Linked DNA regions of Macaca mulatta. The protein of the gene in region 7 purifies or fractionates together with the protein of the main gene of each other region. This does not show direct contact. Links are inferred from orthologs where the notes say so. Each region holds a gene or a part of one and is shown on either strand. Other genes may lie near its edges. The genes, in order: PPP2CB, CDCA4, PPP4C, ECSIT, SERTAD4, IER5 and PPP2R2D.

Region 1 (4,078 bases), on a different chromosome or scaffold from region 7:
AAAAAAAAAAAGGGCTGGGAGTGATGGCTCACTCCTGCAATCCCTGTACTTTGGAAGGCCAAGGCGGGAGGATCGCTTGAGCCTGGGAGTTCAAGGCCAGTTTGGGCAACATGGTGAGACCCCATACAAAAAAATATTATCCCGGTGTGGTGACACATGCCTGTGGTCCCAGCTACTTGAGAGGCTGAAGTGGGAAGGTCCCTTGGGCCCCAGAGGTCGAGGCTGCAGTGAGCAGTGACTGCCCCATTGCACTCCAGCCTGACTGATACACCAAGACTGCATCTTAAAAAGAAAAAAAAAAAGCTAGTAAGATACAAGAGATAATCTTAAATATACCTGTGAAGTCCTAGGAACTGTTAGTTTGATTTATTTAGGAGCCGAAGTAAAAATAATCTCTCTCGACAAATACAGAAAGCTTCCTCAAGTGATCGTTGACACTCCGGTGTGATTATTTCAAAGTACAGCAGTGGTACGATATTCTTCTCTAGGAGTTCACCTTAAAATTATTAGAAAGTCAATGGGGACTGTGCACGAGGCTCGTGCCTGTAATCCCAGCACTTTGGGAGGCTGAGGGATCACTTGAGGTCAGGAGTTCTAGACCAGCCTGGCCAACAAAGCGAAACCCCATCTCTACTAAAAATACAAAAATTAGCAGTGCATGGCAGCGTGTACCTGTAATCCCAGTTACTCGGGAAGCTGAGGCAGGAGGATCCCTTGAACCCAGGAGGTGGAGGTTGCAGTGAGCAGAGATGGCACTACTGCACTCCAGTCTGGGCTACAGAGTGAGACTCTGTCTCAAAACAAAAATAAAACAAAAAAAAGAGTCAATGGAAAAAACTGATTCAACTAACACTTTGCCCTTAACTTCAAGTCTGTATTCTGATGCTCATAGTCAGGTTAACTGACTCAGCTCATTTCAAACCTGTACATTTCACTTGGCATTAGAGCTTGAGAGAGATGTTTAAAGCATACATTTTAAGCCTCATGAAATTACAGGTTATCACAATAAAAATGAACGTCGACTGAAGTCACAAGTAAGCAGTTTGTTTCAGAAAGAGAAAAGTACCACCTGCTTGGCACTTCTATATACAAAAATAAATCCTCCTGTGTTAACAGTTACTTAATACACAAAGGCCCCAGCCAACATTACACCCGTTAAAAATACTATTTTAACTTAACACCATCTATTAGTGCTCCTTTCCTAAGTAAATTTCATGATTTTAAGAGTGTCCTAAAATTAGACTAACAAAATCTTTTCTTCACCTACTTCTGCGACGTCATGACTTCCAAACATTATGGTTAAGAAAATTGTATACATCTTAAAATAACATCGTTACTTCTTCATGGACTTCAAGTGAGAATTTTTAACATAAAAATACATGAAAATTATTTAGTCCACCTTGTAAAGGATGAATTTGGAAAACTCTAGACTTTAAAGATGGAGAGATCGAAATAATTCCAGGAGTTAAGAAAACAATGGATACAGAATTCAGAAAGTGAAGATCACACACGATGTACAAGAACGAAATTGATCACCTGCATGTTTTATTATTCTTTGGAAAAGAAAAAAACTTTATATATTAAAAACAAAAACTTTCTGCAAAGTGTTATCGTGCATGAAAACACACATCCCATTTATTTCCAGCAAACACTGTTCCCAAACTTAAGACCAGCTCTCGTTTCTGAATCAACGCTTTACTTCCAAGAGCCACTCAACGCAAAGACCAGTCACCATCTGTTTCCACCAAAGTCAACCTCTATTTTAAAAATCACAGTTGGCCATCACGCCTACCTCTCCACAAACAAACGCTTGACACATTCAAGAGTCAGTGATTTTTTTTTTTTTTTTTTTTTTTTTTTGAGACAAGGTCTCGCTCTGTCGCCCAGGCTGGAGTGCAGTGACGCGATCTCGGCTCACTGCAGCCAGCCTCCACCTCCTGGGCTCAAGCGATCCTCCCACCTCAGCCTCCTGAATAGTTGAGATTACAGGCACCCGCCCTCACGCCCTGCTAATTTAAAAAAAAAAAATTTTGTGGAGACGGGGCCTCACTGGTCTCTAACTTCTGCGCTCCAGGCTGGTCTTTAACTCCTGGGCTCAAGCAATCCTCCCGCTTCGGCCTCCCGAGTAGCTGTGACCACAGGCGTGAGCCACCGCGCCCGGCTTGAGTTAGTGATTTCTGAGGTGCCCCGTTCACCTGACAAAAATTCTACATTTATTAACAAGTTCATTAATAGGCACGACATTCTGGTTAATTTTAGGTGCATTTTCAGAAACTGGTCTGAAAATGGTCCTTTTCGGATGTCGCTTTCGTTATTCCACTCGGGAAATGCCAGAGTGGCAGGAACTCCAGTGGAGCGCAGGCGACCCCGACCAACCTCCGGCTTGGCTCCAGGGGCTATGGTTCCCCGCCCGCCCGCCCGCACTCGAGCCTCCCACCACCAGGATCTGGGCCGGGGGCGTGGGGCGTGTACCACGCGGAGGCAGAGGGGCCGGGCGAGGGCAGCCCAACGCCCCGGGGCCGGAACGGCTGGGCCGGCCGCCCGGGTAGACGCCGGAGCCGGACCCACAGCCCCGCGGGCCCCCGGTGGGCCGCGCCGGGCCAGGGGCCAGCGTGCGGACGGGCCGGGGCGGGCAGGAAAGCTGCGGCCCGTCCCAGTTCCGCGCTCCCGCACTCGCCCCCGCGGCGCCCTCACCTTCTCGCACAGCGTCCGCACTTGGTTCTCGTTCAGCTGCTTACACTCGTTCAGCTGCTCGACCCACTGGTCCAGCTCCTTGGTAAACGCCTTGTCGTCCATGGCGGCCCGATCCCGATGCGGATCCCGACCCCCGGCCCGGCCGCTGCCCTCCCCCCTCCCCACCCGCCCCCGGCCCCGGCCCGGGCGCCGCTCCCCTCTCCCTCAGCCGCCGTCGCCAGATCCCACAAGGGGAGGACCGAGCCGGGGAGGGCGGCCGCGGTCCCCGCGCCCCGCCCAAGCCCAGCAGGCGGCTCCGAGCGCGAGGCCTGTAGGAGACCCCCGCCCGCCCTTCCCCGCCCGGCCGCGCGCCGCAGGAGTCGGTGAAGGACGCGGGGAGGTGCTGGGAGGGCGGCGCGGGCCCTCGGACTAGCTCTCGCCGGACGAAGGCCGCCAGCTACCGCTTCAGGCCCGCCTCACGCCTGCCGGCCTCTCCCGGGTATCTTTCCCCTTCTCTCGCTCTTTCTCTTCCCTCCCTCCGGGTTTCCGTCATCGCTCGGGCATTTCCGCCGGGAAAAGGCGAGCAGGCGGCGGCGCCGCCGGGACACGGCGCGCTAGGGGCAGAACGGCGCCCTCGCGTGGCTTGGCGGAGAAACGGTCGGAGGAGGCCAGGATCCCTCCTGTCCCAACCCTGCCCCAGACCAAGCTCTGCTGGTTCTCCCTTTAGATATCCTGATCTCCGGGAACTTTGTCCTCACTTTAGCTTCCTGCAGTGCTTTTTCAGCGCTCGGAACAGGGAATTGGAAAACTTGGGCTTCCCTTAACATTGTCTCCCCAGAGTCTAGCACTCAATAGTAGGCATTCAATAATGGTGGAGTAAATTAATTATTTCCAGGCTTGCCTGTAGCCCTAACATCTTGAATCCTCCCTTTCAACATTAGAAAAGTGAAATGATTGCTCTGTAGGATAATCTGTGGCCCTTCTAGCTCCAGCGCTCTTGGCTGTGTTTTCTGCAATGTGTACTGAGTTGTAATGATTTGTTCATTCAACAAATATTTATTGAGTGAGACACAGCAGGGACCCCTCTTAGGGGCCTTCTAGGCACTCCCACCCCCACCCTCCCCAAGCATGGAAATAAAGGAAAACCTTGAGTTCCCCGAAGGGACATTCCAGGCACCTAACTTCCTCAATAAGTCAATGAGCAACCTGATAAGCAAGAAGGTAATAATAGCTTAAGACAGTAGCCAAGGACGTTAGATTCACAAAATGTTTGCTTCCCTATATAAACTGGAGACAACATATGTCCCTGAGTTGTTTTTCAGAAACCTGGACCTCACCAAATGGAAAATGGTGTCCACTATCATGGAGATCTCAAACTACCTATCTTTGTTCTAAATTTCTTCCT
Region 2 (4,023 bases), on a different chromosome or scaffold from region 7:
TTGCTGTCCAATGTTCCAAATCTCCAGCAGCTAATTCTGTGTTGTACCCAATATTTTAAAATGCTAACAAGTTTATTACTATTAATACAAAAAGGAGTAAAGCTCACAGGTGTTTTTTACAGTCGCGTGACCCCTAAGAGCTGTCACCCACAACGTGCGTTCAGGGGTGAAGAGGATAAGGTTGGGCCCGGAGAAGCTGGCCTGTGAGGATCACCCTGAATTGGGCCATATCTGTGTTTGGGACAAAGTCACCAAGAGCATCATCTTGACCAGCCCTGAGGGATGCCTGGGCTGGGCCCAGCTCCCTGAGGGCCTCCAGTGTGACTCTGGCCTGAGGCTGCTTAACTCCTTCTAATATGGAAGGAAGGGCCCTATACCATACGGGCGGGGCTGTGGAGCCTAGCTCCCTGCTCAATTTTTTTTTTTTTTAAGAAGGAGTCTCATTCTGTCCCCCAGGCTGGAGTGCAGTGATGCAATCTCAGTTCACTGCAACCTCCACCTCCCAGGTTCAAGCGATTCTCCTGCCTCAGCCTCCTGAGTAGCTGGGACTACAGGCACGTGGCACCACACCTGGCTAATTTTTGTATTTTTTGCAGAGACGGGGTTTCACCATGTTGTCCAGGCTGATCTCCAACTCCTGACCTCAGGCAATCCGACCACCTCAGCCTCCCAAAGTGTTGGATTACAAGTGTGAGCCACCATGCCTGACCCCCTGCTCAGTTTTGAAGCTCCTTCTACACATCTAGTTAAATGCCTAAAATCCCACCAACTCCACAGGGTGTCAACGGGACAGCCAAGGCGTTCACCCCTCAGTCAACTCCCAGCACCGCCCTTAGGCTTCTAAACCAAGCATCAACCAGAAAGAGAAAAACCAAGAGGGTCAGACAGACTGAAGATATGTCTGACATGGCAGGTGGGACAGCCTACAGGCCACTAGGGACAGAGTAAACTAAGCCCACGGAGGCAGAGGCCAGCAGAGAGCAGCCCCGCAGTGCTACTCAGGCAAGCAGAGTACAGCTGAGGGACCGGCCCTTCACTACAGCAGCAGCCGCCACACCTTCGTGGCTGAGCAATCCCATGAGGCTGGCTGAAAATGCAGATTCCCAGATTCTGACCAATAGGGCTGGGACTGCTGGGGACAGACTCAACTCTGACCTAACCTGTCACCTTCACAGCTGGACTTGCAGCCACTTCGAAGTTTCGGGTTAAGCAAATTATCAACAATTTCCATTTCTCACACATCAGATAAGCTTTGAAATACTCTATCGGAAAAACAGGAAGAAGAGGAGCAAGGTCTTCAGTCTTGAGATCTACTGAGTGGGAGCTCCACCTTCCACTACAGTCTGCTGGAGGCTGTTCCTGAACAATTACTGATACGTTAATTTCAGGGGTTATTTTTGTTTTGTTTTGTTTTTGAGACGGAGTCTTGCTCTGTCGTCCAGGCTGGAGAACCTCCGCCTTCCGGGTTCAAGTGATTCTTCTGCCTCAGCCTCCCGTGTAGCTAGGATTACGATTACAGGCATGCGCCATCACGCCCAGCTAATTTTTGTATTTTTAGTAGAGACGGGGTTTCACCATGTTGGCCAGCTGGTCTCGAACTGGGGACCTCAGGTGATCCACCCGCCTAGGCCTCCTCCCAAAGTGCTGGTAAGTGTGAGCTACCGCGCCCAGCTAATTTCAGGTACTTTTGTTACTTGGAACGATACACCTTCCTTTCCCTGAAAACATGTTCCAATGGCAAGTTGAGGGAAACTTCCTGGCCCCTTTTCTAAGATAAAGCCTACCACTCTTCCTAGAAAAAGGGTGTAACTCACTTTGTGTTGATTTCCACCCTAATTATAAAACATGGTGACACTTGAAAATAGAGTGGTTGTACGTAGAAAGTTTATAAAACCTAAGTTTTGGGAACAGGCGATGTTTTTCTGTGGCTCACTTTGAGAGAACGGTTATCTGGGTCCTGCCGTCTCGTGAGTCCCACACGAAGGCCACAGGAGAGGCGAGGCAGCGGAGACCCTCTATTCCAGCAAGCTGTAGGAGCCTTTGTCACGACGATCCTGTTTACTGGACGAGAAGCGTTTGAAAACGCGCAGGGAAGCTTGCCTCTGACTTCTGCAAATGTCTCGGGGACTCTTCCTAATCCCACCTCGGAACGCCGGAGGAGCCCAGGAAAGACGGCGCTGGCCGACCCGCCCGGGGTCTGGGCCTCCTCCCACATCCTCGGCCCTCTCCGCGGCCGGGATCCAATTGAGGGGGCTGCAGCGCGCCCTGGCCCGGTTAGTGAGGTCGGCCGGGGACAGGGCGGGGGCGGCCGTGGCGGGGCGCGCCCGGCGTTCCCTCCGCGGCAACTAGAGCCGAGGTACAGGAAACGCCGCTGCGTACCCCAGCCGGGCCCTCGCGAAGTCGCTCCCGTGTGGGGCCGCCCGGAGGCCTCGACGAAGCCCCAGCTCCGCAATCCGCATGGAACGCAGACGGCGGCCCGGGCCCCTCTGGTTCCCCGGGCCCCCTCAGCAGCGGCCACCCCGCGGTGGAACCAGCGCCCAGGAGGGCGGCGAGGGCGCCCGCGGCAGCCCCAGCGGGAACCCTGAGCGCCGCCTCCGCCCCGGACCCAAGCCAGCGCCAGGAGCCACAGACTCCGCGTACCGCCCCCGGGCTCCTCCGCGCCCGGCAGCACAAACGCGCGCGCCGCCGTAGACGCCCTCGCGGTCAGCCAGACCCGCTCACCTGACCCGCGAGGCCGCCCGCCGGCTCCTCTGCTCAGCCGCCGCCACCGCCGCCGCCGCCGCCGCCACCAGCTTCCCGCCGCTGAGGGAGGAGCGCCCGCCGGCGCGGGGCGGGGCGTGCGACCGCCACTCAGCGTCCACAAAGGGTCGACGCTGCGCCCTCCGCGCGCCGTGCCCACTGATTGGCCACCCACGGACCGGGGGCGGGGCCTCTTGTTCAAACCCGCGCGGGCGGGGCATCTGCGGCGCGTGTTCCCGCGCTGCGGCGACGGCCGTTGGGGCTCGCGCGCGCCCTCGGTCGCCCCGCCCCCGCCTCCGCCTCCGCGCCGGGCCCCGCGACGCCCACGCCGCGCCGGCTCCCAGGTCTCCCCGCGCCCAATCCGGCCCCGCCCAGCCCCGCCGGCTCGCAGGTCTCCGCACGTCGGGTCCTAAACTGAATGCGCCTGCGCTGGGGGCCCACGTGGTGCCCTCGGGAGGGCGTGGCGGGGCAGCCTGGTAGGGGCTGATCCTCTCTCCCTTCTGCCTAGGTTAACTTCTCTGCCGAGGGATCCGTGCCGGGGTGGGGAGGAGCCGGGAACGGCAGTTCCCGGGCGGCCTGGGCTCCGAAGTCTATCCCAGCCTCTCCAGAAACCGCGGTTATCTCTAGAGGCTTCCCAGGTTTACACGTAAGAAATGTAACGTGAAAGTAGAAAGCAGGGAAACACGTGTTTTAAATCTCTTAGTGGAAAAGGTTTTAAATAGGATACAAGAGTCTAATATTCTTTGAACGCCTGCAGCAGGCCCGGCAGGCGTGGCTGCAGCTGAGAACCCTGTGCTGGTGGTGGGGGAATCCTCAGCTGAATCCGCAGATGCGGATGCGCCAAGGTCAGTGGTTAATGCTGAAATGCTGTCGGAAAAAGCTGGGAGTGACGTTGGGGCGCTGCTCACATAGGTCTCTAGGATAAGAGGCGTCTTAAAGCACCAAAAGGAAGAGTGGAAGAGTATTCCAGGAGAGGAATGGCTAGGACAAAGCCCGAGGCAGGGGCAGGAAGAAGTCTCAGTGCAGTGAAAAAGAACCCTGTGATCTCGTGGGAAAGTTTAAATGTGAGAGGTGGAGTGATTTTGAGGCTGTTCTCTGAGTGGGATGGAGACTACTGGGACGGTCAGCAGAGAAGGAACTGGGATCTGAATTATGCTTGAAAAGAATCACTGTTCTTATTTAAAAAAAAAACGGGTTTATTTCGCCCATGCTGGAGGACAGTGGCGTGATAATGGCTCACTGTATCCTCGAACTCTTGTGCTCAAGTGATCCTCACGCCTCAGC
Region 3 (3,218 bases), on a different chromosome or scaffold from region 7:
GAAACACTGAAGCTCCTGTGTTTGGCCCTGGGCGGGGCTGGGTGAGCAAAGGCTTTGCTGGGAGACCCAGACCCAGATCTAAACCTGTGTTTCCAGCTGCCTGACCTAGCACGAAATCTACCAGCTCTCTAGGCCCATCTCTTCAGGAAAGTGGAGAAATCAGAATCTCGTGATGCTGTTAATAAGGCTGCATGAGAACAGAGCCCTCTCCCTAGCACTGGGGAAGCCAGCGGGCAGCGGCCCCTGGAGGCCCTGGGCAAGCTGACTGGCCTGAGCCTGGCCATCCTGGCAGGTCGGGGCCCTGAAGCAGTCAAGGCCCTGAGGTCCACCCCAGGTCCCAGGCCAGCAACCCTATGCATTCCCAACCAAGTCTGGCAAAAACCCAAAGACCATTTTTCTTCTTTTATTAGAATTTTTTTTTTCTTTTTTTTTCTCAAAATTTTTATCTAAAAACAAACAGAAAAAAGAAGGAAAAAAAGAAAAAAAAATTATTGGAAACTTCATGGTTCAAGTGGGGAGAGAGGAGAGGAGGAACATGGAGCTGGGTCTCCAGGCCTCTCCAGAGAAGTCCTCACCCTCGAAGCACCCTCTTGGGGAAGAGCAGAGCCGGGACAGCTCCCCCCACAACGCCCAGCCTCCGTCTGAGGAAGAAGGCAGAGTCACAGTGGTCCGAGGGCCAGAAGGGCTGTAGGGGCAGGGGCCGGGGGGGTCACAGGAAGTAGTCAGCCACGGGCTTCTTGGAGGGGATGCCCCGTGTCTCTTGGGGAGCGGCCTCAAAGATGATGAAATCTTTCTGGAGATGCTCGTCCAGCTCCAAGATGGCTGCCACATTTCCACAGCTGGAAGGCGGGGCAGCAGGGTCAGAAGCAGCTCGGCTCAGATGCCCGCCCCTCCCAGCCCGGCCCAGCTGGCTCACCGGTAGCAGTAGTTGGGTGCCGACCACACAGTGAGCACGGTCTCATTGAAGTGCCACTTGTAACCTTCCATCACCAGTTGGTGGGCACGGCAGATCATGTCAATGTCGTTGGCTGCATTGAACTGGGCCACCACGTCACTGCCAAATAGGTAGCCAGCCCCTCGGGGGCTCACGCCCCAGCCTGTGGTGTCTGATGGGGCAAGGGAGGGATGCAGAGGGATATCCTCAGGCTTCTCCGGCTGCCAGCACTGCCCCTTGAGGGTGAGCAGCCTGGCCCCTCCCCAAGTCCACCAGAGGCCCATGGGACCAGAGCATGGGGCCTGAATATGGTCTGTGGGATGGTGGGGACCAGGACAGCAAATGTAGGGGCAGATGAGCTCCAGAGGAGAAAGAATGCCCAATGGCTGGGACCTCCTCATAATGACAGTGATCATATAATCCCTGGCCAAACAGTACACAGGAGTGAAAGGGGTGCTCCCAAAGACAGAAGGGCACCCAGTGCTGTCACAGAGCGGTCGGGAGTGGCTGTGGAGCAGTGGCTGCATGTGTGCGTGTGTCTGTGTGTGTGTGGCTGTGGAGCAGAGGCCTCACGTGCGTGTGGCTATGATGGAGCAGACAGAGAGTGTGTGTGTGCGCGTGTGTGCCTGTGTGTATGTGTGACAACAAGAACTCTGGCTGGTCCTCAGAAGACCTGACTTTAAATCTCAGCTCTGCTCTACACTAGTGGAGAACCCACAAAAAGAGGGGTCTCAGGGGGCTATCATTCTGGGGTTCTGACCTCTGAAGAAGCTGCTGTCATGTTCCAAGATCCCTTCATTTCAGGGAGCAATGACTTAGTTGTCCACTACAGCCCTCTGAGCCATGCCCCAAGCCACTGTGCGTTCAAAGCATCTGTCATGCAGGCCTCCCTGCTCAACCTCCAGGGTTCCAGCCATTTGGTAGGTGGAGGACAGATGCCAGTGAAGGCCAGCCCTGCTCCCTCTCTTTCCCAACCCCTCCTGGCTGTCCCTGTCTGCCCCTGCCCACATGCCCTCACCTTCTGGGTCAGACCAGAGGAGGTCACACATGGGCCCATCATGAGGCACCTCTTGCTTTCGGTCAATTGTCCGAATCTGATCCAGGGTCTGGATGGAGGGGGAGAGACCCCCGTGCACACAGAAGATCTACAGGGGACAGCAAGGAAAGAGGGCGGGGCTGAGGCCTGGAGCCCCCCTCCTCTCCCCGTCCCATGGAGCCCTGAGCTGGCCTACCTTGCCATCGATGATGGCTGACAGGCTGAGGTAGTCGAAGATCTCGGTGCAGTAGCGCCACACAGTCACCGAGCCGTACTTGCGCAGGCACTCATCGTAGAATCCGTAGACCTGCGTGATCTGGCGACTCTCATGGTTGCCCCGGATGAGCGTGATGCGGTCAGGATAGCGAACCTGGGGGTGGCCACCAAGCCGGGGCTGGCTCCTAGACGGTCTCTCCACACATCCCTCTCTGACCTCCTCATGCCATCCTCACAACCACTGCCCAGCACACTCCTGGAACCTCTCACCTGATCGTGTGGCATCAGCCACCTCCCAGGCCTGCAGGACCCCTCCAGAGAATGTAAACCTGACCCATCCCCATCAACTATGAACCTAATGGCTCTTCTTTCACCTGCCAGACACAGACCGGGTCCCTAAGCAAGGCACCCAGGCCCTTTGTCATCTGGCCCCACACTGCCTCTCCCACCAGTGGCATCAATGACCTGCCACATTCGCAACAGTGAGCCTCTGCCCCTCCCAGAATGCTGCCCCACTGGCCTCACCACCACCACCCCTGAGTCTCTGACCACCCCCAAAAGCAGGATCGGTCCATCATCAGTGACACAGCTCCCAGGTGGGGCTGGCCACAGTAGGAGATGAGGGTAGAATGGACTAAGACAGGCCCGACCCGAGGTGGCCCAGGTTGGGGGTGCAGAAGCCGGGGACTACCACCTTAAGTGCCAGCAGCAGGAGGAACGTTTCGACACTGTAGAAACCACGGTCCACAAAGTCCCCCATGAAGAGGTAGTTGGTCTCAGGGACATCGCCACCCACCTGTGGGGAAGTAGAAAGTTTTGCCCTGTCCTAAACAGTCCCCTACCCCCTACCTGTTTCTGTCCAGCAGAGGCCCTTCTTCCACAACTGCCCATCTAACTCGGGGCCTCTTGCCCCCACTCCACACCCTCAAATTAAGGCTCTCACCCTCGATTAAAGGGGTCTTCTAGTCATCCCCGTTACATTTCGCAGTACTGGCCACACACTTACTCTGAACAGCTCTTTGAGGTCATAGA
Region 4 (3,500 bases), on a different chromosome or scaffold from region 7:
GACGGCAATCCCACACTCCTGCTGCCGAGGGTAGTGGACGAAGATGCGCTGGATGACGTTGCGAGGCCGGAAGACCTCTTTGGGGAAGATGTCGAGCAGCTGGTTGTACACAGCCAGGTCCCGCTCGACGCCATACTCCCGCATCTTGCGCAGGGCCAGGTAGATGAAGTCAATGTGGCCCCGCTTACGCACGCTGTGCTCCCCAAATTTCTGCACCGCCTGCAGGAAGCTGGCCTTGTCCCGTTCCCCGCTAGGCGCCTGCCCAAACAGGTCCTCATAGGGCACCAGAGCCTTGGTGGGCCTCTGCCGGGGTTCCGGTGGGCTGGAAACCAGGGACTGTTCAGAGCTATGGGGGGCTGCGCTGCAGTGCAGGCCCCGAGGGAGCTGGCGAGGGACCTGGGGAGGGAGGAGAATTGCTGGAATCCGGCACCTCCCAGTGTCCATGGGGGCGCCAGGCTGGCTTTCCTGGGAGAGGTCCCAGTGGCCTCCCTGAGGACTTGGAGGTATGGAACTGTGGTTACGAACCCAAGATTCGACGCCATTACAAAGTGCAATAAAACACAATGCTGGCACAGTAGGGAGGGAACAGGTACTGTTAGCCATGGCTATGGGGAGCTGGTAAAAACTGCCACGGAGGCAACTTGGTAATAATCACAGTGATGACACGCACATGCCCTATATATATATATATATATATATTTTTTTTTTTTTTTTTTGAGACAGGGTCTGGCTCTGTGGCCTAGGCTGGAATGTAGTTGTGCTACTAGGGCTATTGCAGCTTTGAACTCCTGGGCTCAAGCAATTCTCCCCCTCTGCCTGTCCAGTAGCTGGAACTACAGGTGTACACCACCGCACCTGGCTAATTTTTCCATTTTCAGCAGACAGGAGTTACGCTGTTTTGCCCAGGCTGGTCTTGAACACCTGGCTTCAAGTGATCATCCCGTCTCCACCTCCCAAAGTGTTGGGATTACAGACATGAGCCACTGTGCCTGGTGGCCCTTTTTGCTTTTAATTTTTTTTTTTTTTTTTAAGACAGTCAGCTCACTGCAACCTCCGTCTCCCATGTTCAAGCGATTCTCATGCCTTTGCCTCACAAGTAAGCTGGACTACAGACGTGTTCCACCATGCCCTGCTAATTTTTGTATTTTTAGTAAAGATGGGGTTTCATCATGTTGGCCAGGCTGGTCTCAAACTCCAGGCCTCAAGTGATCCACTTGCCTCGACCTCCCCAAGTCTTTTGTTTTTTTTTTTTTTGAGACAGAGTCTCGCTCTGTCGCCCAGGCTGGAGTGCAGTGGTGCAATCTCCACTCACTGCAAGCTCCACCTCCCGGGTTCACACCATTCTCCTGCCTCAGCCTCCTGAGTAGCTGGAACTACAGGCGCCCGCCACCACGCCCAGCGAATTTTTTGTATTTTTAATAGAGACGGGGTTTCACCATGTTAGGATGGTCTCAATCTCCTGACCTCATGATCCGCCCACCTTGGCCTCCCAAAGTGCTGGGATTACAGGCGTGAGCCACCGCGCCTGACCTAGCTTCCCCAAGTCTTCTGATTATAGGCATGAGCCACCGTACCCAGCCCCTTTCTTTTTCTTTTTTTCTTGAGATAGAGTTTCACTCTTATCACCCAGGCTGGAGTGCAATGGCGCCATCTCAGCTCACTGCAACCTCTGCCTTCTGGGTTCAAGCGAATCTCCTGCCTCAGCCTCCCAAGTAGCTAGGATTACAGGTGCCTGCCACCATGCCCAGCTGATTTTTGTGTTGTGTTTGTTTGTTTTTCCTGAGACGGAGTCTCGCTCTGTTGCCAGGCTGGAGTGCAGTGGCACGATCTCGGCTCACTACAACCTCTGACTCCCTGGTTCAAGCAATTCTTCTGCCTCAGCCTCCGAAGTAGCTGGGATTACAGGCACATGCCACCACGCCCAGCTAATTTTTTGTATTTTTAGTAGAGACGTGGTTTCACATGTTGGCCAGGCTGGTCTTGAACTCCTGACCTCATGATCCACTCACCTCAGCCTCCCAAAGTGCTGGGATTACAGATGTGAGCCACTGTGCCTGGCCTAATTTTTGTATTTTTAGTAGAGACGGGGTTTCACCATGTTGGCCAGGATGGTCTCGAATTCCTGACCTAAGGTGATCCACCCACTGCAGCCTCCCAAAGCGCTGGGACCCTTTTTTCTTTAAGAGATGGAGTCTAGGCCGGGCGCGGTGGCTCAAGCCTGTAATCCCAGCACTTTGGGAGGCCGAGACGGGTGGATCACGAGGTCAGGAGATCGAGACCATCCTGGCTAACACGGTGAAACCCCGTCTCTACTAAGAAATACAAAAAACTAGCCGGGCGAGGTGGCGGGCGCCTGTAGTCCCAGCTACTTGGGAGGCTGAGGCCGGAGAATGGCGTGAACCCGGGAGGCGGAGCTTGCAGTGAGCTGAGATCCGGCCACTGCACTCCAGCCTGGGCTACAGAGTGAGACTCCGTCTCAAAAAAAAAAAAAAAAAGAGATGGAATCTAGCTATGTTGCCCAGGTGGGGAGTGCAGTGGCTATTCACAGGCATGAGCCAACTGGTCAGCACAGGAGTTTTGACCTGCTGTTTCCAACCTGGGTCAGTTCACACTTCCTTAGGCAACCTAGTGGTCCCCCAAGTCCCAGGAGGTTACAATATTCATGCAAAACTTAGTGCAGGACACTCCATCAGCATAGTGCACAACAGCCCAGAACTCCTGGGCTCAAGTGATCCTCCCACCTCAGTCTCCAGAGTAGCCAAACTCTGGTTCTAGATGACACAGTAACAAATTTCTTATTTTAAATTGAATTTTTAAATTAGAAGGATTACATATAAGGCATCTTAAAAATATACAGCTAGTTAGCAAGGCTGTACTGTGCTTTGATTGCACCACTGCATTGCAGCCTGGGCAACATAGTGAGACTCCATCTCTCTATGGAAAAAATTAAAAAATAAGCTGGGCATGGTGGTGTATACCTGTAGTCCCCGCTACTTAGGAGGCTGAAGCGGGAGGATTGCTTGAGCCCAGGAGTTCCAGGCTGCAGTGAACTACGATTGTGTCACTGCACTCCAGCCTGAATGAGAGAGTGAAACCTTATCTCTAAAAAATAAGTGAATGTATGTGTGTTTATCTACACAGACACACACACACACACATAAATACATATATAGCTAACAAGTTAAGAGCCAATATTAGTCCAGGCTTGGTGGCTCACACTTATAATCCCAGCACTTTAGGAGGCTGAGGTGGGCAGATCACCTGAGGTCAGGAGTTCCAGACCAGCCTGGGCAATCTGCTGAAACCTCATCTCTACAAAAAAATACAAAAATTAGCCAGGCATGGTGGTGTATGTATGTAGTCCCAGCTACTGTGGAGGCTGAAGTAGGCAGATCAACTGAGACAGGGAGGTTGACGTTGCAGTGAGCCAAGATCACGCCACTGCACTCCCGCCTGGGCGACAGAGTGAGATCCTGTCTCAAAAGAGACGATATTTACCA
Region 5 (4,272 bases), on a different chromosome or scaffold from region 7:
TGTACAAAGTTCAACAGAAACACCTTCAAAACAGATTAGTTCTAATTATGTTTAATATTGGTTTGCTACTTTATTGAATAAACTACATTTGCTTAAAAAAAAAAAAAGGAAATTCACTTAACTGCATGTCAGTCACCCAAGTTTTAAGTGTACAAATGAAATGGAAAACATTTATTACACAAATTTAATTACAATTCTAAGAAATAAACATGCAAATTAGATAGAGTTCAATTTGCAGATGCTAATCCTCATCCTTGATCTTGTTCCTTCCTCCCTTGATTTTCAGTCTGTGCGTCTTCTTGATTCCTAGGGTGCCAGGCAGCCAGAGGTTTGGTTTTTCACAGTCGGAGGATCACTGTTTTAAAGAAGTGTTATATTTAGCACATCTGGCATAGTGGCAGTAAACAAACATTATAGTCTTTGTAACACTTTTGTGCAGGTGCCTTCTCCCGATTTTATTAGGTCTATGCCTTCCAAGCCTCTGCCTTCATTACACCTAAAATGACCCATCTCGGCTATGGAGGGGTCCCTAGACAGAAGTTATGAATTAATGTTTTTAAAAAATAAACTCTGAGGCCACTATAGGAGAAAATTACTATTTGCAAAAATTCTGATTCCAAGGCTTAAATTACATTCTCTTCAGCAAGGACAATCTCTTGTATTACTTTTTATTTCCTGGAGGTTTTCCCTGGAGGCTCCCCACCCAGAAAGAGTTGCCAATTCAAGTTGCAGCAGGACCAAGGTTGCTTTTTTTTTTTTTTTTTTTTTTTTTTATACGTACGCAGCTCAGGAGGGAAACGGGCGGGGGCGGCGAGGGAGAGTAACTGTTTGGTCCTGCAAAGACATCTGTTTCTCATCTCCGTTTGCTGTGGCAAAGGAGAAGAAAGTCTTTTGCAAACGGTGGGAAAGGCACAGATTTTTTTTTTAATCACACGCACACACAACAACAACAAAACTAAACCAAATTTTAAAAGACAAGACATCTCGGAAGGTTGCAGTGTGAATACATTATTCGGCTGGAGCCGAGCCCCCAGGGTTAGGGCGGGAGCCGGAGAGCGCGTGGGGTCTGGGCTGCGGGCTGGAGCTGCGCCCGCGTGTCCCCGGGCACCGGGAAGGGAGGGGAGGAGAAGGAGGAGGGAGGGCGGGAAGGAGGGAAGGAGGCAGGGGGCGGGCTGGGGTGGGGGTGCGGGAAAGGCGCCCCGTGTGCAGCCTGAGGAGCGGCGGCGGCGGCGGGAGCAGAGGGAGGGAGGGAGAGCGGGCGCGCTTGTCATGTTCCCTCTCTCACCCTGGGGGCATCCTGCAGAACCTCTCCTCGGAAATCCACGGGGAAATGGCAAACAGGATTGACGGGTTTCACACGCTGCTCGCTAGACAGAGCCGCTCATTACCATAACCGTCTGCAGCGACGGCGGCGCAGCGCCCGAGTCGCGGCGGCGGGACCTGCCGGGACCCTCGCCCGCCGCGCACCCGCAGTCACCGCCGAGCGGGCCGCCGGGCCGGGACCCGTGAGTGTGCACCGGCAGCCGGGCTGGCGCCGAGCCCAGAGCGGACCAGCAGCGGCTCAAGCGCTGCGGCCGCTGCCTCCCCGCTGACCCCGCGGTAAGAGCCGGGCTGGGCGCAGGCCGCGGGGGCGGGAGAGGGCCGGGCCGGGTGGAGAGGGAGGGCCGGGCCGGGTGGAGGGCGAGGGCCCCCCGGGGCTCCTGCCCGCTCAGACGGGCACCCACGCGGCCTCCCGCGCGCCCTCTTGGCACCAGGGCTGCGCCGAGGTCACCGAGTGGACTCGCAGCGGCCGGAGCGGGGTCGGGGCGGCGTGGGGGCCAAGGCACAGCTGGGCGCGGAGGCGGCGCGGGCTTTTCCCTGGGCTAGCGTGCGCTGCGGCGCCTTCACCAGGGCGGGAACCGCCGCCTCCTCTAGGGCTGCTCGGGCTGCCACCCGCGCGCACCGAGACAACTCCAGGGGCGGGTGGGGTCAGAAGCTCTGGTGAGACCTCAGGGTCCTCGGTGGTCGCTTAATCCCTCATCCTAGGGGACGGGGGTCAGTAGGAGGGGTTCCCCCAGGTCCGGATGCCGCGGCGCTTGGCAGGTGGGGAGAGAGGGATTGTGGATGTCAGGAGCGCGCGTTTGCAAGAAAAAGGAATTGATGCAGTAGCTGACACCTTCTGTCCCCCGCCACCTCCGCCCCCGCACCCTCCTCCCAGGCAGCAGAGCCGCGCTGCGGGCGGCGGCGGCTCCTCTGTCCTCAGCTCACCTCCCCGGCGGGCTGAGGCTGCTGCCCGCCTGGTCCACGCCTCCGCCTCTCTCTTCCCTTCCTCCCCTCCAGCCTCTTCGGCCCTAGCAACTTTCCGAGTGCCCAGCTACGGTCGCAGAAGCAGGGAAGAGGCGTCCTCGCCGCCAGGTCCCATGGGCGCAGGGCGCTCCCGCGGCCGGGGGCTTCCGGCGGGTTTGGCCGGCAAGGGAGGGAGGGAGGGCCGGGCCGGCATCTGCTGCGGGCTGGAGCGCGGGGGCCCGGGCCAGCCCCGCCAGAGCCCTGCCAGCCGCCGTGAGTCATTTCCTTGGAATCCTACCTTTGGTGTTTATTTCCCTTAGAAGGAAACTTGGTTGAAAAAAAAAAAAAAAAAAAAAGGATAAGACATAAAGAATAATAATAGCTCTTATTCTTCCGAAGAGGCACACGGCTCCGGCACCGTAGAAAGACAACTTGCCTTTGTTCCCGGACACTTGGGGTGTTGTTTACTTTCTCCTGCGGCCAGCGGCCGACCGGGAGCTGCTGGCTACCCCGGGAGGGGCTGAGGGCTGCGGCACCGACACCCCGGGGGTGTGTCTGTGCGGGAGCCAGAATGTGGTTGGTGGCTGCCGCCCGCCTTCAAGAGGTCGGCCCTCCAAACCTCGGACCCCCCCACCCCCCGCCCCGCCGCCAACACACACACACACCTTGGGCACCGGGGCTTGGACATCGGAGCACCCCTTCGTGCTCTTTAAGCCCACCCAGCACCTGCAGCCCCAACCACAGGACCCAGCTTCAAGCTCTTGACCTCGTAGGGCTGCAGCTGAGACATGTACTTCCCAGGGCAGACAGGTGTACTGCAGGGACCGGCAGAAAAGCGACATCTGTCTGTTTAGAAGGGTTGAAGGATTTTGTTCCGCCCATCCAGTCCCTTCCACTACCACCACCAGGAGCCGGACAAGCTATTGAGATCATTTTAGGACAATGTGGAGGTCAGGGGCTTGATGCCATTTAAGACTGGCAGCATCGATCGAGGGTGGAAATAGCCCTTTACTTCCCTGCTTTCCAGTGCTGGAATCAGACTGCTAACTGCTGTAATGATCTTAATCAAATGCTCTCCAGTTTTCAATGACAGATGGAAGAAGAGGTGAGCGAAGAATAACCTGGCGCCCCTTGTTAGATTCAAGGTGCCGCTGAATTCATAGCTATCCTGTTTTGTGTGCCAGCCACTCTTATTAGCATCATAATTGCTTTGAGGAAAGAATAAGCACAACTCATCTGGAAAAAAACAAATTGTGTAGGAATGTCTGGTAACTTTACTATGAACATTTGCTGGAAAAGCTTGGCATTCTAGCCCTCAGCCTTCTGGGGATGCTGGACATGTCATTCCACTACAGCCACCTGGGTGTCAAAACAGACATTCAGGAGCCTGAGGATGAAGGGTTGGGGCTTGTTTTTGTTTTTGTTTTTTTAATCTTTTAAACCCATGCATAGGCAAAACACACTCTAACACCCTCCTGTTGAATCCACCACCTCAGATGTTAGAAAATAAATTTTGTCATAATGTATATCCTTTTATTTGTTTAATATTAATAGAACATGAATTTGTGGACTTGAACTGCTGACATCAGTAGCAGAATTATAAATCTCATCAGACTGAGAATTATGACAGTTTAGATCTCTACATATAATATGAAGACAGATTCATGTTAAGCATTTGTGCTTAATCCTGCAGTGTCCAATTTTTCATGAACAGTCAACTTGCTTTCTTAATTTGTTAACATCCATCCAGTGTTAAGTTTTAAATAGACTAGGAAGACTCAATTGCAAAATCTCCTCCCTGTTCCCAAATAATCCCAATTCATTCACGTTTTATTCAGATTTACATAAATCACTTGCAGAACTCAGCCTCTCTAGTTTAGGGTTTTGTGTGTAACAGTTCTCAATTTACAGAAGAAAAACTTACTAAAATTAGATATTGTGAACAAAAAAATAGCCAAGATAAATACTGTTATGCCATGTTTCCAGTTCACATGCATAATAGCATCT
Region 6 (4,104 bases), on a different chromosome or scaffold from region 7:
TTTGGACAAGTCAGTCTCTTTCATCTTCCTATGTCAGTTCGAATGGGCTTTTAAGGTAAACTATCTAAACTTTTTTTTTTTCAATTACAAAGCTAAAAGATGACCCATATTAACAGCTTAACAGGAAACAAAGTTTTGCTGAAAAACATTTTTGCAGATAAGCAGGGCTTCAAAAGCTGATGGTTAAATTACTTAATAATATATACCCACATATTGGGTGACAAATTGGTCTAAACCGACCTTAGAAAAGCCAGTTGTAGCGGTAGGTTTCAAGAACCTGGCAGGTCGCTGATATTAGTATCTAATAGCATTCCTCTGATCTAGGAGGAAAAATTAAACGTGTCTCTCTTGATACTTAGTGGAGTCAGTAAACAATGTTCTCAGTCTGCGAATGACTGATATTAAGAACCACACCTTCAATTTTCTAGCCCAGGCCCTGGTTTCCCTCCTCCCACTTCCCTCCCAACCCAGGCAGGTTATTGCAGACAAGCAGGCAGTTACGTTGCTTCAAAATATTTAATACGTGTTAGACACGTAGAAGTTACATTTTTATACAAAAATCAATACAACGAAGGAGAAAATACTGTACAAAAACCTTATCAGCTCCCCCAACCTTTATATAACAAAGACTGGAGTCACCATATCTACAAAACCATAAGGTCTTTCCACTTCGGGCTTCTGTCTGTAAACTTTCATTAAACACTTTTTAAAAGCACTGTGTAGTAGTTCTGACCTAGAGCTTTTAAAAATATATCTTTTCTCTATAAACTCCATTATTTCCAAGCTTGAACTCTTCTGTGAAGTTCAAGCTTTTTCTCCCCTGCGGGGAAGCAAAGGACGGTTAATATGCCCCTTTCCTAGAGTAATCACAGGATATAAACGTTTCTTCATTGGGAGAGAAAGGTGGGGAGGGACAGAAGGAATCCAAGTCTGTGCTGCTGCCTAAATCCCTCTCGTCTTAGGAAATCCTGTGCGGAAACGCCACTCCTGGCCCTGAAGCGGGTCTAGCTTTCCGGTGAGGGGTGGGTGTAAAGTCCCTCCCTCCCCGGAGAACGAATGGGGAACTCCCCGGCCCAAACCTTTTAGCCGCTTCCTTCTCCACGCAGCCGGCAGAGGAAAGTCCCTGTCTGCCCCCAATCTCTTAAGCCCTGGGGAAGGAGTGGTGCATTCCAGAACAAAATAGTCTTAATGCCACAAGACAAACTTACATACACAGACATACACAAACACAAAAAGTTAAAGATCGTCCTCTTCCAATGAGCCTCAAGCTCCCAGGTCTCCAGAAAAGCCAGATGCGCCCGGGGGCAGTTTGCGATGCCCAGCGGCAACCAGTCTGCCCAACGCGCTCAGCGGCCGCGGTCTCTGGGCGTCCTCGCAGCCAGCAAGGGCCCGACCCTCACTTCGAGGACGCCCGCTGCTCAACCTCCTCCCCGCATGGGGGCCAAGGGCTCAGAAGGCCACGATGGCTGTGCTCCAGGGGTTCATGTCTCTCAGCACCGGCTTATCGCAGCAGATCTGCCCGGGCTCGGCGGCTTCCGGGCCGCTCTCCTCTCCCTCCTCTTCCTCCCTGCCGCCCCCGGGGCTTTTCCGTAGGAGTCCCGAGAAACTGGAACCGAAGATGCTGATGAGGTTAGCCACGTTCCCGGTCTCCATCTCCTCCGCGTCGTCGTCCTCTCCTCCACTCGGCGGCTGCTCTAAGTTCCGGCGGGGCTTCTTGAGCGGGGTCGAGCCGGGCGCCGGGCAGCCCGCTGGGCCGCCGCCCACCCCCGCCGCGCCGCGCTTCCTGGGGCACACTGCGGGCTGCGCGGGGGGCTCGTCCTCGGCTGGTCGCGGCGCGCAGCAGCAGGCAGTGCGGGGGGTCGCGGCCGGTGTACCCGGCGGGTCCTCCCCGCCTAGGGGGCAGCCGCAGGGGCGGCGCGCGGCAAGCGATCCCTCGGGGAAGACGCCCCAGCCTCCGGCGGGACCCTCGGCTTCTCCGGCCGCCGCCTGGCGCGGCCGCTCCACGCGGCTCCAGGCAGCTTCCGTCGCGTCCGCCTCTCCGCCCTGAAGAACGTCCCCGACTCCGGTCACCGTGGTCACTGGCACCTCGTCCCCTACCCGCGGCGCGTGTGAGACGGAAGGGCGCTCCGGTTGCGGCTCGGTCTCCGGCCAAGAGGCACGGGCGACGGGCGGGGGCGGCTCTCCCCAGCCGGCGGGTGGCCCGGCCGCCGGCTCCCCGGGCTGCTGCTGCGGTGGCGGCGCCGGGATCCCAGCGGGACCGGCCAGGTAGAGGCCGGGGCACGGGTCGCTCAGGTAGACCTGGCGGGCGCTGCGCAGCACCAGCGAGACCAGGAGGTTCTTATGCAGCTTGATGCCGCCGCGCTGGACCCGCGAGTTGTAGATCTTGCCCAGGGAGATGCTGACGATTCGGTGAGCCTCCAGCTTGAACTCCATCCTGCCTCCCCTGCACAGGGCCGTCGGCGCCGGGGTGTTACGTTCGGAAACTGGGAGGGAACGGGAGGCGCAAACAAGTCCGCCCCGTGGGCACACCCTTGATCACCTAAGACTCCGAAGAGAAATGACTCCGGTGACGCGCGCTCACTGCCCCGCAGACCTCTCTACACCAGACAACTACCCCGTTTCGGGTCCGGTAGCTAAACAGGGCAGCCCGGCCGCCCCGCGCCTTATATAGACTCCTCGACCGCCAATCACGAAGGGCCGCCAACCGTTCCGCGGCTGGCCGGCGCGCCCTCGTGCGCCGCGCACGGCCAATCGGAGCCCGAGGAGGGGCGCCAAGGCCCGTTCGAACGTTAGTCCCGCGGAGCAAGCTCTTAAAGGGGGCGACGGATTGCGGGCGCAGACCAGGCCGATGGGGAGTGAGTGTTGGGGACCGTGTTGGGGACCGTGCTCGAGGGCGCTACTGTTTGGAGTTACAGATTCTGGCTTGTGCGATGGCTTGCCGGAACCAAAGCGAACAAAATATTCGAACTTTCTTCCGAGCACGGTGTTGGACTCTGTTCTGCCATAAAGTCCTGATCTTTTCCTGATCAACTCCGCCCTAACCGGCCACGCCACCATTTCCAGGCCCGCCACACCTGTAAGCGATTCCCCTCAACCCTGGCAAAAATAGAGATGGTGGCTATACGCGGCGGAGGACACCCCTGGATAACAAATAGTATTACTGCAAAGTATTTGGCTGTCATTATTTTTGGATGAGCCGCTTTCCCCGCTAGAGTCACATACACTCTTAGCAGCTGTCAGTTCTAACACCAAAGAAAAAGGGGATTCTAAAAGTTTTTGGCTAGGTTCTTGGCTTCTTATCAAGGAATTGTGTCTAGATACAAAGTTACTGGTTGCCCTCTAAAGCCGGCATCTTTCACTTTGTTCTCTAGATTCTGGAACAAAGCCAGTTATCAAATAGGTTAAATGGAAGATGTTACAGGTTCTCCACAATGATTTTTTTCCCATTTCCATTTTTCCATTACAAGGACTGATCAGTCAACCCTTGGAAAAATCGAGCAAGGTCTGAAAATAAAAAGAAAGAAGTCCTGTGTTCCCATGATGATGTCATAATTTCATTTTGTGTCAAGGTAAAAATATAGCGCTAGGGAGTTCCAGAATTTTCTGGTCAGTCAACAATGTAGTCCATCTACTGGTCCTTATATCAGGGCACAATTACCACAGGGTTGCCCAGGGTCCTGGACTGGAAACATGGAGTCACTTCCAGTTAGTTCCACCGAAGCTCCACCACAGACCTGCCTGAGGACTCTGGGTAAATAACCTCAGACCGCTTCAGTGTCTCCACCGCTGAAAAGGGGAAGTCACATACACATCTGCTTTATTGTACAGACGATAAATGACAACTTCTCAGCCACAAACTGAATGAGAAAACTAAGCACTGCTTTCTTGGAGTCCATGTGGAACCCTGGGCCTGATCCTGCCCCAGGGATTGGCCAAGCAATGAATTTATTTAGGAAAAATACCAGTGAAGGGTGGGCTTGATCATGACCAATTGACAATCTCCAGAAGATGTGATGGCTCAGTAGCATTACCTGTGCCCACAACTGATGGTAACTGAGACTGCAGGCTCTGAGACCCAGTTCCTCCCCCCTCTAGGAATTTTCA
Region 7 (3,500 bases):
TCCCCCTTGCTTCCATTACCGAGGTCGACATTTTCTTCCTGCTGAAGAAAAGAAGATCAGCTGGCACGGTACAAGCTGCCCAGGCACCAAGGCCTGCGGCTCCCTCTCCTATGCGTCTTCTGGTGGCCACACTGAGACGCTGGACAGCAAAGTCTTCCTGGGTGGCTCAGCTGAGCCCCTCCCTTTGTCCTCTCCTTGCAGCTACATGCACAAAACTCCTCTCACTGCACCAGGACTATGCTTCTTGGTGCAAACCCCACAAGCCTCCACCGGCTCCAGGGACTGGCAGGGTGCACAGGTGGGTGCTGGGGAGCTGAGGATGTTCCATTTCTTGGTCTGGGGCTGACTACATGGGCATGTCCAGTCTACAAACATTCATGGAGCTGGTCACTTATAGGGCAGACATATTATTTGGAGGTATGTATTATTCATTACACTTCATCTGAGGTTAAAACAAAAAGTAAAAGGTACCTCCCGCACCCATCTCTGTGTCGAGTGCGGCGGTCAGGGAGGCTTCTAGGGAAGCCCAATTCACACTGAAATGGAAAGGACAGAGAGGAGAAGGGTGCTGGCTGGAGGCCGCCTGCGGTCAGAGGTGAGAGCTCAGGTGTGAGGAATAGCATCACACATGAAAAAAGGACAAAGGTCTGCATCTCCCTAACACCCAGCTGGAAGAAAAACATAAGCTTTAAAATCAAAACAAAAAATTAATGAGAGTATTTTTTGTTATTCTTGTAATTAGAAACCAAAAGGGAGAGCCTTGAAAGCTTAGGGAAAAAAAATCTCTCAACTGAGTCTTGTCTGGCCAAATTCTGTAAAAAACGAACGTGGAGAAGTGTGTGTAGTGAGACTTCCCCCATTTTAACCCGGTTAGTGCTGACCACAGCCTTGGATTCTTTAGATCAAGAAGAGTCAGTTCAATGAAGTTCAGGCTTAAAAAACACACACCTGCCACAATCCTCTAACAAATCTCCCATTAATCAAAACACATGATGGCTGCAATACTTACAAAGATTCCTTCTTTTATTTAAAAAAATTTTAATTTACATATAAAATAATTTGTTTTCATTTTTAGAAATGGGGTCTGGCTATGTTGCCCAGGCTGGTCTTGAACTCCTGGGCTCAAGTGATCCTCCCATCTCAGTCTCCCAAAGTGCTGGGATTATAGGTATGAGCCACCGTGCCTGGCCAAGATTTCTTCTTTTAATTATATCCCTTTTCTGGCACTAAAATAATTTAAGAGCAAAAATTTAAAAATAGCAACATTTCTGACTCTTACCCAGTTAGGCTCAGATACATAAATAGCCCATTCTGAACTGTTAGAGAGGTACAATCTCAAATACTGACCTAAGTCATTGTACAGAATTACCTGTCTGTGGTCTCTTCCCCATGCACTGACTAATGAAATAACTATACTTCTCACAAGCCTTCAGTAGGGCCACCAATTATACCCATTTTATTTAGGCTAAACCTACAAAAGCAGCCTTGAATAAAACCAAGACTGGGCCTAGTAAAGGCCTACTGTTTTCCCAAAATGAGCATGTGAACTCATGGGTTGTGGCAGGGTCTGATCGGGAGGAACAGGGGTTTCTGAGGGTGGGGTATGCACAGGTACCTGGGTGGGAGGTGGTGTTGCCTGTAGAAGAGATGGACGAGACTGGAGGGGGTCAAGTGCCCACCCTCAGGGGTCCCATCACACTTCTACTTTAGGGTCAGCAGTTTCATGATAAAGGAACTGCACAACTCGTGTCACTGTCACTAAAAATGATTTACACTAATTCATGGATGCAAAGGCAGCGGCACTGCGTATCAGACACCACCACCATTTTGGATTGAAACATCTTGGCTCACATTAGGACCCTATAAACTACATTTTCAGCACATGCCACAGCCTTTCTCACTTTGATGAGCTCATAGGAAACAGGGTGATAACCTCGATGTGAGAAGTCTGAGGACACTCCTCCTGGGAAATTGGGGAATGCACGACCCCAGGTGCACCCACCCCGCACGGCAAAGCTGGAGAAATGGCATCAGAACAGACCCAGCGTCACTCCCAGGGGCACGTGTGTTAGGGAAAGGCTTCTGCAGCTCAGCGTCCTTCTCTGTAGCACTTCAAAGGCTAATGTGGAATGGGCTCGCTCACTCGGTCTTCACTTGATAAACAATAGCGTAACGGGCTGAAATCTCATTAAAAACCAGCCACCCAACCCAACCAACTCAACCAGCCACACCCACCCCCCGGCAACGAAACCACCCAACCAATTAACCAACCAGCCAACCCACCCACCCACCCACCAACCGTTTTCAGATCTAGTAATGGCACTCCCTTGGGACCAGGCAGGGTTTCCTTCCAGGGGACACACCTCTGCACAGGTGCTGGTTTCTCACCAAGACACACCCGGGCTGGAGTCCAGTTTGCTGGACACCCTTCACCATGTTCCATCTAATTTAAGACACACATCAGTCGTACGTAGCACCAGGCCAATTATAAGACATTGAGGTTTTAAGTTTTACCCGATTTCATAGATGTTAAAATGTGAAAAAATCTAGGCCCTGGAATTGACGAAATATGGTCATTTCATACTGCATGATGCGGGGGGGGGGTGGGGATAGGGGGGCGCCAACAATGGAGCAAATAACTTAACAATTAAAAAAGTAATGATGCTCATGGATGGACAGGTGAAGAGTTCTGAACTGTCAGCATCTGCCTAAGTCAACCCCAAAGAAATGCCATGAGAACATCCTGAATGCATCTTGGTGGCCCACAGCCTATCTTTCGATCTGCAGCCTGTGCTGTTTCACCTGCGAAGTGTTCGGAATTCCATCTGAACTTCAACTTGCCAGGTGCTGTTCCGAACCTTCAGAGAGAAGGGTGGTCGGTACGTCCACCAAGATTTCTGCTGTAGAATTAGATGTGAGTTTTCCCCTTAGTATTGCAGTATTGTCTAAAGACCACATGTGACTTTTTGCCTTTGTGAAAATAGGAGAAAGACCTTGCTTTAAACACATGTGTCATGAGCGCAAATGCCTTTCATGACTCAGGAGGCGGACCTCACAGTATTCCACCCAGCAGGACTCTCCAAACAGCAGACGTAAACATTTATTCTTAACTTCTGAACGGCATTGGATAAAGAAAAGGCAACATATACCCGTAGTGCTGTGATTCTAAACGGATCTCGAAGTCTTCCATCTTCGTCTTTCAGGTTATAACCTTCTGCTCTTTTATCCCGTTCACTTATTTTCCATAATTTTATAGTTTTATCTGAAAATAAAAACCTCATTCTCCATATGAAAAGAAAAACTGTAACATGCATCACTACTGTTTGAGTATTATATTAGAAAGCGGTGTGGTCCTATGTTGGTTTATAAGCTATGGGGTCTTTGAACATGAATATTTCCAATTGGAGGTGTTTTGCACAATAAACAAAGATGTGGAGACGTGCAGAGTAACATCCTAGTAACTTGCACGTGTGGTTTTTGTTGCATACTTTGAATTTTCA

The links.
Region 1: the proteins of PPP2R2D (region 7) and PPP2CB purify together in Homo sapiens (affinity purification with mass spectrometry; 6 studies listed by BioGRID and IntAct, counting the BioPlex papers as one, with this or other methods). This does not show direct contact. The link is inferred for Macaca mulatta from reciprocal best matches to the Homo sapiens genes PPP2R2D and PPP2CB.
Region 2: the proteins of PPP2R2D (region 7) and CDCA4 purify together in Homo sapiens (affinity purification with mass spectrometry; 3 studies listed by BioGRID and IntAct, counting the BioPlex papers as one, with this or other methods). This does not show direct contact. The link is inferred for Macaca mulatta from reciprocal best matches to the Homo sapiens genes PPP2R2D and CDCA4.
Region 3: the proteins of PPP2R2D (region 7) and PPP4C purify together in Homo sapiens (affinity purification with mass spectrometry; 3 studies listed by BioGRID and IntAct, counting the BioPlex papers as one, with this or other methods). This does not show direct contact. The link is inferred for Macaca mulatta from reciprocal best matches to the Homo sapiens genes PPP2R2D and PPP4C.
Region 4: the proteins of PPP2R2D (region 7) and ECSIT purify together in Homo sapiens (affinity purification with mass spectrometry; 3 studies listed by BioGRID and IntAct, counting the BioPlex papers as one, with this or other methods). This does not show direct contact. The link is inferred for Macaca mulatta from reciprocal best matches to the Homo sapiens genes PPP2R2D and ECSIT.
Region 5: the proteins of PPP2R2D (region 7) and SERTAD4 purify together in Homo sapiens (affinity purification with mass spectrometry; 3 studies listed by BioGRID and IntAct, counting the BioPlex papers as one, with this or other methods). This does not show direct contact. The link is inferred for Macaca mulatta from reciprocal best matches to the Homo sapiens genes PPP2R2D and SERTAD4.
Region 6: the proteins of PPP2R2D (region 7) and IER5 purify together in Homo sapiens (affinity purification with mass spectrometry; 3 studies listed by BioGRID and IntAct, counting the BioPlex papers as one, with this or other methods). This does not show direct contact. The link is inferred for Macaca mulatta from reciprocal best matches to the Homo sapiens genes PPP2R2D and IER5.

What each region holds. Positions count from the first base shown.
Region 1 is NC_133413.1:32,598,432-32,602,509, forward strand, and holds the start of PPP2CB (serine/threonine-protein phosphatase 2A catalytic subunit beta isoform), read right to left. Parts: upstream 2,801-4,078; 5' UTR 2,797-2,800; coding exon 2,695-2,796; intron 1-2,694.
Region 2 is NC_133412.1:178,452,459-178,456,481, forward strand, and holds the start of CDCA4 (cell division cycle-associated protein 4), read right to left. Parts: upstream 2,801-4,023; 5' UTR 2,216-2,800; coding exon 1,934-2,215; intron 1-1,933. UniProt on the Homo sapiens protein: May participate in the regulation of cell proliferation through the E2F/RB pathway. May be involved in molecular regulation of hematopoietic stem cells and progenitor cell lineage commitment and differentiation.
Region 3 is NC_133425.1:28,478,803-28,482,020, forward strand, and holds the end of PPP4C (serine/threonine-protein phosphatase 4 catalytic subunit), read right to left. Parts: coding exon 3,193-3,218; intron 2,983-3,192; coding exon 2,881-2,982; intron 2,341-2,880; coding exon 2,167-2,340; intron 2,080-2,166; coding exon 1,953-2,079; intron 1,107-1,952; coding exon 917-1,106; intron 840-916; coding exon 710-839; 3' UTR 501-709; downstream 1-500. UniProt on the Homo sapiens protein: Protein phosphatase that is involved in many processes such as microtubule organization at centrosomes, maturation of spliceosomal snRNPs, apoptosis, DNA repair, tumor necrosis factor (TNF)-alpha signaling, activation of c-Jun N-terminal kinase MAPK8, regulation of histone acetylation, DNA damage checkpoint signaling, NF-kappa-B activation and cell migration.
Region 4 is NC_133424.1:12,248,716-12,252,215, forward strand, and holds part of ECSIT (evolutionarily conserved signaling intermediate in Toll pathway, mitochondrial), read right to left. Parts: intron 397-3,500; coding exon 1-396.
Region 5 is NC_133406.1:67,970,106-67,974,377, forward strand, and holds the start of SERTAD4 (SERTA domain-containing protein 4), read left to right. Parts: upstream 1-1,472; 5' UTR 1,473-1,599; exon of another isoform or gene 1,600-2,074; intron 2,075-2,247; coding exon of another isoform or gene 2,248-2,547; exon of another isoform or gene 2,548-2,647; intron 2,648-2,701; exon of another isoform or gene 2,702-2,816; intron 2,817-4,272. Other genes in the region: uncharacterized protein LOC712687, read right to left, coding at 339-355, 782-866, 2,248-2,547.
Region 6 is NC_133406.1:38,498,210-38,502,313, reverse strand, and holds IER5 (immediate early response gene 5 protein), read right to left. Parts: upstream 2,640-4,104; 5' UTR 2,434-2,639; coding exon 1,450-2,433; 3' UTR 501-1,449; downstream 1-500. UniProt on the Homo sapiens protein: Plays a role as a transcription factor. Mediates positive transcriptional regulation of several chaperone genes during the heat shock response in a HSF1-dependent manner. Mediates negative transcriptional regulation of CDC25B expression.
Region 7 is NC_133414.1:144,033,910-144,037,409, reverse strand, and holds part of PPP2R2D (serine/threonine-protein phosphatase 2A 55 kDa regulatory subunit B delta isoform), read right to left. Parts: intron 3,263-3,500; coding exon 3,150-3,262; intron 2,898-3,149; exon of another isoform or gene 2,003-2,897; intron 1-2,002. UniProt on the Homo sapiens protein: Substrate-recognition subunit of protein phosphatase 2A (PP2A) that plays a key role in cell cycle by controlling mitosis entry and exit. Involved in chromosome clustering during late mitosis by mediating dephosphorylation of MKI67.